2 linked regions of the Daphnia pulex genome follow. The protein of the gene in region 1 purifies or fractionates together with the protein of each later gene. This does not show direct contact. Links are inferred from orthologs where the notes say so. Each region holds a gene or a part of one and is shown in the gene's direction. Other genes may lie near its edges.

Region 1 (4,090 bases):
TGGCAAAATAAGAAATAGAATATGATTACCTGAACCAGTTTGTCAACATAGGCATCAGCATTAAAGTGCTTTCCATCCACGTCAAAAAGGTTTTCTACATCCTTTTCTTCTGTTATCCCATAGTATTGAGAAAGAAGATTGTTTCTTTTTCTTTTATCGTTTTCATTTAGTTCTTTACTCATTTTGACGTTTTTCATTGGCACTGTTCACCAACTGATTAGTGATTACACATACCGCACATACATTTCTTTAGTTGTAACCACAGACTAAGAGGGTAAAGACCACGAACGGCTATAAACCCCTTGAAGCGATGCTCGTCCTATGCCGTATGGTGGCGCGTCGAGCACACAAAACGAAAGCCATTATTTTTCCTCTTTCCCTACTGATTAGAGTCTTCACACACCGTAAGTTTATAATTGAACCATTAACATATCAATAGTGATGTTTTGTGTAAATATAGCTTAGATATCTCCCATGTTGTGGGAATTTTTTTAAATTTCTATGTGATGTCTAGATACAATCCATAAATTCCTTTATTAAACCCCCTTTTTGCCCATTTTCAGGCCCAGGAAACAGCGTTTCAAGATTTTCTGAAATGGGCCTGAAAATCGTGAAACGCTGTTTCCTGGGCCTGAAAATGGGCAAAAAGGGGGTTTAATAAAGGAATTTATAGATTGTATCTAGACATCACATAGAAATTTAAAAAAATTCCCACAACATGGGAGATATCTAAGCTATATTTACACAAAACATCACTATTGATATGTTAATGGTTTAATTATAAACTTACGGTGTGTGAAGACTCTAATCAGTAGGGAAAGAGGAAAAATAATGGCTTTCGTTTTGTGTGCTCGACGCGCCACCATACGGCATAGGACGAGCATCGCTTCAAGCATCCCTCTTTAGCCCTATCCCTGATCGTAGTCTTTACCCTCTTAGTCTGTGGTTGTAACTGCAAATCGAATGGTTGGGGATTGGATAGCGTTAATGTAAGTTTTTGACGTTTCGCGAGCTGATGTCAGAATGTCTTAACGCTTCAAGTCTCAAACCGCCAACCCAAGGCATAAAAATAACAGGTAAGAAATTATGACAGGCCGGCTTGCTTTAGGTTTTGGATATGCAGTCTGCAGAGAGCTGCTGGCTGATTAGCTCATTACATTACACAATAATACCACCACACTAACAGCTGACCCCACCTTATCTGCTGCCCTCTATGTACTGATACTAAACTCAAAATATTTTCATATCAGCCAATAAAAATGAAAGACCCAGACTGTAGCAGACATCGCTACAGATATCAGATTATGCTAGCGTGAGCAAGAACGAGCGGTGTTTACTTTCTTCCGTTCGGTCATTCGATCGTTTTATTAAATCATTCGTCAGACATTTTTTTTTGTGTATTTTCAAGATGCTTGCATTTTGACTTCTATAGCCACATGTCAATGCGTACGTTTAATTCTGGTGAGTCATATATAAATCATGGAAATCAACTTTTGGAAGCTTTTGGCTTTTGAATTAACTTAAAAATTTGGAAACGTTATATTATTAGGAACGACGTCAGTCATCAAATAGTCTACACAACTACAAAACGCTAAACAATGGCTTCGCAAGGAAAAATAACATCACTGAGTGGTTAGTATGAGACGCTGTTTAAATTTTTTTATAGAAAAAAGTTGGTTTATCTTCAGCAATAATTAACCTAGCTTGAATAAATTGGTGGAACCCGTTTTGCAACTAATGGGTTATATATATATAATATAAGTAATTTCCTGCAAAATTTCTACAGATTCCAGTTCAGATGATGATAGTTACAGACCTCCTTTGAAAAAACCAAACACACAGTATTATAATAATACAGGAGAAGTTAACTCAAGAAAGAAACTAAATGACATTGAAACATGTGAACGTAGCACTGTCATTGTTAGCCCATCCAAAAGTAATGCTGATGGAGGATATGGGTTTAATGCACCATCCAGTAGTCAAGATTCTGATTCTAGTGATGATGATCAGCCTATCATGCCTTCTGTACATAAAACACTCATCAAACCTAAATCTGCTGCTGCTCCAGTCATAAATCATAAAGCCACAGCAATGATGGTCAGTTTAATATTCTTACAGTGCATACTATGTGGCTGCTAATAGATTTCTGAACTACTTAAAGGCTAAAATGGGTTGGGCTAAAGGAACTGGACTTGGTAAGAAATCCCAAGGTATGACACAGCCCATCGAAGTCTCTAAACAACGCGGAAGAAGAGGATTGGGTTTGCAGATAAAAGGATTGGAAGCTGAAGATGTTGAATGGGACTCAAGTAGAGAGGTTGTTAATGTCTACATTTATCTTGATTATTTCATTCATTCATTCTGTTGTCTTCTAGACTGTTGTAGTGGAAGAAGAGATTTCATGGCTTCATCTAGATTCCACTCCTGCACCTACTTTGCCAGAGTTAAAAAATTGGGTAAAAGAGGGAACCAAAAAATTAACAATTGATGATGAGACAACATTTTGTAGCAGCGACATTTTAAAACAAGTTCTTCAGTGCAAAGTAACTTAATTTAGGATGATTAATGTCATTATTAAATATTTACATTCATGTTCTTTGCTCTTTTCAAGTCGATATTTGATGTGTTGGAAGAAGAAGAACTAAGGAAAGCACGCACCCGCTCTAATCCATTTGAAACTATTCGGGGAGCTTTTTTTCTTAACAGAGCGGCGATGAAGATGGCAAATATGGATGCTGTTTTTGATTTTATGTTTACTGATCCTAGAAACGAAGATGGGGTAAGTTTTGTACATTGGTAAAGCAGAATTTTACTTTGTGATTTTGAGTGAAATTCTTTACAGACCCCAGTTCTTGGTCCGAACGAATTACTTTATTTTGCTGACGTTTGCGCTGGCCCAGGAGGATTTTCTGAATACATACTGTGGCGAAAAAAATGGGAAGCCAAGGGTTTCGGCTTCACTCTAAAGAGCTCCAACGATTTCAAGTTGGAAGATTTCCATGCCGCCCCTTGCGAATGTTTTGAACCCCATTATGGTAAAGAAAAGTGTTATAATTTTAATTTAAAAAAAATCAGATCAATCAATTGAAATCAGTAGTCAGTTATAGTGAATCATTTTTATATTAGGTGTTGGTGGAGTTGAAGGAAACGGAGATGTGTATAATCCGGAAAACATCCGTGAATTCCAACGTTTTGTTATGGCTCAAACCGGAGAAGGCGTACATTTCATGATGGCCGACGGAGTAAGCTTTTCTATGTTCCCACCTAGTCTGTATGTGTAACTTATCTTTTTCTTTTCAACACTTTAGGGATTTTCTGTTGAAGGGCAAGAAAATCTTCAAGAAATTTTGTCAAAACGACTTTATCTTTGCCAATTCCTTGTTGCTTTGTCTATAGTTCGAACAGGTATTTTATTCCTACGTTTTCATGTGTGTAGTTTATTTATCGAAGAATTCTGTTCATAGGTGGCCACTTTGTGTGTAAGTTATTTGATTTGTTTACACCATTTAGCGCTGGGTTAGTATACTTGATGTATCGTTCCTTTAAACAAATTTCCATCCATAAACCAAATACTTCCCGACCGGCCAATTCGGAAAGGTAAATTTATTAGTTTGCGACATTGAGCGCTATTAAATATCATTTTTCCAAATAGTTATTTTAATATTTTTTTTTGAATTCCTGGTAGATATATAATTTGCAAGTGGAAAAGAAGTGACACTCAAGATGTCGAGACTTACCTGTTTGAAATCAATCGTCGCCTTGATAAGCTTAGTAATTCTAAAACGGAAACGGATGTCATGCATATTGTACCATTGGATTTGATGACAAACCATCATGACTTTTACAATTATTTGTTTGAGTCCAACAATGATTTGGGTTTGATTTATTGCCTGGTATTAAAATATGCAACATTTACTTCATGTATGTATAATGTTCAATAGGTGAAAGACAAGTTGTAAACCTCGCCAAAATTGCCGCATTTTGCAAAGATGTCACACTAAGAGAGGACCGGCAATCTGAACTTAAGAAACAGTCATTAGAATTTTGGAAAATTCCAGAAAAAACTCGCACAGCCCCATCCAGGTTGTCT
Region 2 (4,409 bases), on another chromosome or scaffold:
ATAAAAAACCTGGGTTTCAGAATGAACAGGAATCGGAACATCAGACTCTACTTTCAAGACTTCTGGTCCTCCAAATGTGTGCACACGTACAGCCTTCATTGCCAGTCCCTGAAAATAAAACAACAATAAAAAAATCATTATTTTAATGTTCATAATCTCTACATGATTTTGTCCATTTTTCTGTATACCCTAGTTAATACAAAGAAGTTTCTCGAGTTCATTGACACATATTTAGTTAAGGGCTCGGTCGAAAGTTCGTTGCATCTTTCATTTTACAGTTTACCTTCACTGGATAATTTACAGTTTACCTTCACTGGATAACTGCTTGCTGGCTTTCTCTTATCTAATCAAGCAGCACCTCTAGTTTTATTCAATAAGATATCTGTTAATAACATCAACAAGTTCAGACGACATAGAGGGCGAAGGCTCCCAATTCAAAAAATGTCCGATCGCAATTTTTGCAAATCATAAACAGAAATGCAAATAAAAAAAGTAGTCTTTGGTCTCTTTAGAAGGAAAATATTAAATCAAAATGCGATGCTCTAGATACTGAGAGCGCGTAACGGAAATCGGGTTTCTTTGGAAATATTTTCTCCCGAAGTACGGGCACTTTTTCGGCCATTGAAATCAAGTTATTTAACAGCACACACGAAATTTCCAATTATTTTGTTAAGTAATATTACAGATTTTTAGCTATAGCGATAAAATTAACGGTAACAAAAAATTGTCTTACGGATTTTCAAAGGGAATTGTAACAGGGAAACGTAAACTGGACGGACGTAGGACGGAAGACCTGTTAATTCCTCGGCGGCAGGTAGCGATGTGAATGTCGGGAGCACCGAGAAAGAAGAAATAGGACATCAAATTTCCTAGCCTTTCTTTTTTTCTTTACTGCTATGTGTTCCGCTCAGTTCACGATTTCATGCCCGTTCTCTGCGTTCTACTTTCTCTCTACAACTTCCCTACTAATAAAGAACAATTTAAATTGAATTATTCCGGGAAGCATCAATGCATTTAAACAATAGCTTCTCCCCATATAGATTTTTATTTTCTATTTTTTCCTAGGCCTAATTTCATTAGACCAAACACATGATTAATAGAAATAAGACAAATTGAGTCCTTCAATGCGTATTGGATATTCAAACTAATTTATTTGAAATGAATTCAAAGTTTTTTATAATAAGGACGTCGTCAATGCTGAATTCTCGTGGAATATATAAACATAACGGTACTGAACGGAGGAAATATTCCGAATTGAGAAATCAACAACTTTTTCATTTAGGCTAACTTGTAACTTTCTAACCACCAAAACGAGGCAACCATGAAATTGTGATCGAGCAGTAAAATAATTACTATACTATTCAATTAGCAAATACCATATAGCTAGGGTCTGAAACGAATTAGAAGCAAAGCCATATACATTTATAGATCAGCGCCGCGCATAAAAATACGGCATCTGTAGACGAGTTATTGTCAACTTAAATTGTGGCAATAAACCAGTAGTTCCGCAGTTCGCCGCTTATTGGCTATGTGCCATCTAGCGATTTGAAATGAAACGCGTGCTTCCTTTGAATTTCACAAGTAGCGTCTGCAAGTGTGGAAATTGGTGGCCGAAGTTCCTGTCTGTGCTGTTGGAAAACGTGTATCCACGTCCTGTTCGTTTTTAAATATCGTAAAATAGATATTTTCACCTCTTATTATGTCGAAAAGACGCATAGAAGTTGATGACAAGCTCAGCAAGAAATCGTAAGTAAAATGCAATTATTCAAATTAGACAAATAAACCCGCGATTGTGTCATTTGTAATGCACATGAGCATGCTGTAGTGAAACATGTCGTGGTCGATAAGATTGTTAATGATTTTTCAAAAAACCATCATTCTTTTTTTAAATTATTATGCAATAAAATTAATTTGTTTTACTTTACAGCCGGGCAACTGGTGACAAAGGGAGTGAAGCAGATAAAGAAAAGTAAGCTTCTATTGTTATAAATATTTTTCTAAATTCATTTTCACTTTTTGATTTACAAATTCCCATATTAGTGTCTTAAGATTAAAATAATGCTTTGTCTTATTACTTTACAGAAATGTAACTGATTCTAAACCTGGTGGTTCATCTGCATCAATTCCAGTAACACCATCAAAGCCAGGGTTGACATTAAATCCCCTTACAGGATTGCCCTATACACAAAAGTACATCATAAATATTATTTTTTTTTAAACACTCGTTGATAATGATCATTTATATTGTTTTAGATACTATGACATTTATCGAAAGCGCATTGGCCTTCCAGTTTGGGAATACAGGGAGAAATTTTTTGAGCTTCTAGAAAACAACCAGGCAATAGTTTTAGTTGGAGAAACTGGATCGGGAAAAACTACTCAAATTCCTCAATGGTTAGGAAATATATTTAGTTTATCGTAGAGCAGTTTGTTGATAATTTGCTATTATTGTGACAGGTCGGCTGAGTTTGCGCGAAAACTAGGAGTTAAAAAAGGAGTCGCTTGTACTCAACCACGTCGAGTTGCTGCTATGTAATATTTTAAGTCAAATAGTTAATTTTCTCTTAATATAAAACCGTTTTTTTTTTGTAAGGTCTGTGGCTCAACGTGTAGCTGATGAAATGGACGTCGTTCTTGGTCAAGAAGTGGGTTACAGTATCCGTTTCGAAGACTGTTCTTCCCCCAAAACCGTACTCAAGTATGTTCTTTTGAGTAAAACGTTTTATTCGATCAAAACTATTCCCTATTTCATTTTTTAAAGGTACATGACAGACGGTATGTTGTTGCGTGAAGCCATGTCAGATCCACTGTTAGACTCGTATCAGCTAGTTTTATTGGACGAAGCTCACGAGCGTACACTTGCTACTGACATTCTTATGGGTGTTTTAAAGGAAGTCATTAAGCAAAGGCGTGATCTAAAGTTAATTATCATGTCTGCCACGCTTGACGCGGGAAAGTTTCAATCTTATTTTGATAACGCACCATTGATGAACGTGCCCGGTCGGACGCATCCTGTGGAGATCTTTTACACCCCAGAACCCGAGCGTGACTATCTTGAAGCAGCCATACGCACAGTCATGCAAATTCACATGTGTGAAGATATTGTCGGTGATGTTCTTCTCTTCCTCACTGGTCAAGAGGTTAGCTTTATATATTTGTAAAATTTGATTGAATTTCTCAGATTTCTCTGAACATGTTTATCTTATTCATGTACACATAGGAAATCGATGAAGCTTGCAAAAGGTTGAAACGTGAAATCGACAACCTTGGTCCTGAAGTGGGAGAAATGAAGTGTATTCCTTTGTACTCCACATTGCCACCAAATTTGCAACAGAGGATTTTTGAGGCTGCTCCCCCAGTTAGACCAAATGGAGCCATCGGTCGTAAAGTGGTTATTAGTACCAACATCGCCGAGACCTCGCTTACTATTGATGGTGTTGTTTTTGTTATTGACCCTGGTTTTGCCAAACAAAAGGTAACATTTAGGAATTTTCAAATGTGAGTTACATGGTTCAAATTTGTGGAATTGCTGTTTTCAGGTTTACAATCCTCGCATTCGCGTCGAGTCTTTACTCGTTTCTCCTATCAGCAAAGCATCAGCTCAGCAACGTGCTGGGCGTGCCGGGCGTACGCGACCAGGAAAATGTTTTCGTCTTTACACAGAAAAAGCCTACAAACAAGAGATGCAAGACAACACATATCCTGAAATTCTTCGCTCCAACTTGGGATCAGTCGTCATTAATCTTAAAAAATTAGGCATCGACGACCTTGTTCATTTTGATTTCATGGACCCTCCAGGTACCATATCAACATTTAAATAAATAAACCGCATGCTGATTTTTTTTTTTATTTTACAGCTCCCGAGACTTTGATGAGAGCTCTAGAGTTGCTGAATTATCTCGGTGCTTTAGACGACGATGGTAACATGACCGAGTTGGGAGCAATTATGGCTGAATTTCCCCTTGATCCTCAATTGGCCAAAATGTTGATTGCTTCTACGGAATTCAACTGCTCCAATGAGATCCTTTCGATTACGGCTATGCTTTCCGGTAAGCTTCACCTAACTTCTATTTCGGTTGATTTGGTTGTCTTTGTGTGGGATCTGAAAAATAGCTAGGGTGATTTGCCACGTTTTGCCTTTGTAGTTTAATCTAAAAGTTCTTACTTGTTATGGCAAAACGGCTAATCAACTGGTTTAAAAGGTGTGCTTTCTTTGAGAGCACAGATCATAGTAGAAACGATAGGCTGTTCTATTGTATCCTGTTAATAGGTGAACAGAACTAAACATGAAGGCGGGACGCGCGGGCTTCCCATTTTTTGGTCTCCTTGAAAAATGTGGGGCCCCACTTCCGTCTCTTTCTCTTTTTGTCTCCTCCCATTTTTTCCGCAACGTCTGAATGCAGTCCCAC

Evidence for each region.
Region 2: the proteins of cap-specific mRNA (nucleoside-2'-O-)-methyltransferase 1-like (region 1) and putative pre-mRNA-splicing factor ATP-dependent RNA helicase PRP1 purify together in Homo sapiens (co-immunoprecipitation; 3 studies listed by BioGRID and IntAct, with this or other methods). This does not show direct contact. The link is inferred for Daphnia pulex from reciprocal best matches to the Homo sapiens genes CMTR1 and DHX15.

What each region holds. Positions count from the first base shown.
Region 1 is NC_060021.1:637,997-642,086, forward strand, and holds the start of cap-specific mRNA (nucleoside-2'-O-)-methyltransferase 1-like, read left to right. Parts: upstream 1-1,256; 5' UTR 1,257-1,461; intron 1,462-1,549; 5' UTR 1,550-1,598; coding exon 1,599-1,632; intron 1,633-1,786; coding exon 1,787-2,097; intron 2,098-2,161; coding exon 2,162-2,317; intron 2,318-2,375; coding exon 2,376-2,543; intron 2,544-2,611; coding exon 2,612-2,779; intron 2,780-2,842; coding exon 2,843-3,035; intron 3,036-3,126; coding exon 3,127-3,242; intron 3,243-3,308; coding exon 3,309-3,405; intron 3,406-3,464; coding exon 3,465-3,597; intron 3,598-3,685; coding exon 3,686-3,876; intron 3,877-3,941; coding exon 3,942-4,083; intron 4,084-4,090. Other genes in the region: vacuolar protein sorting-associated protein 51 homolog, read right to left, coding at 30-197. UniProt on the Homo sapiens protein: S-adenosyl-L-methionine-dependent methyltransferase that mediates mRNA cap1 2'-O-ribose methylation to the 5'-cap structure of mRNAs.
Region 2 is NC_060017.1:1,846,486-1,850,894, reverse strand, and holds the start of putative pre-mRNA-splicing factor ATP-dependent RNA helicase PRP1, read left to right. Parts: upstream 1-1,573; 5' UTR 1,574-1,699; coding exon 1,700-1,746; intron 1,747-1,927; coding exon 1,928-1,969; intron 1,970-2,082; coding exon 2,083-2,190; intron 2,191-2,253; coding exon 2,254-2,394; intron 2,395-2,457; coding exon 2,458-2,532; intron 2,533-2,593; coding exon 2,594-2,698; intron 2,699-2,761; coding exon 2,762-3,140; intron 3,141-3,220; coding exon 3,221-3,475; intron 3,476-3,539; coding exon 3,540-3,798; intron 3,799-3,857; coding exon 3,858-4,049; intron 4,050-4,403; coding exon 4,404-4,409. Other genes in the region: quinone oxidoreductase-like, read right to left, coding at 10-108, 189-221.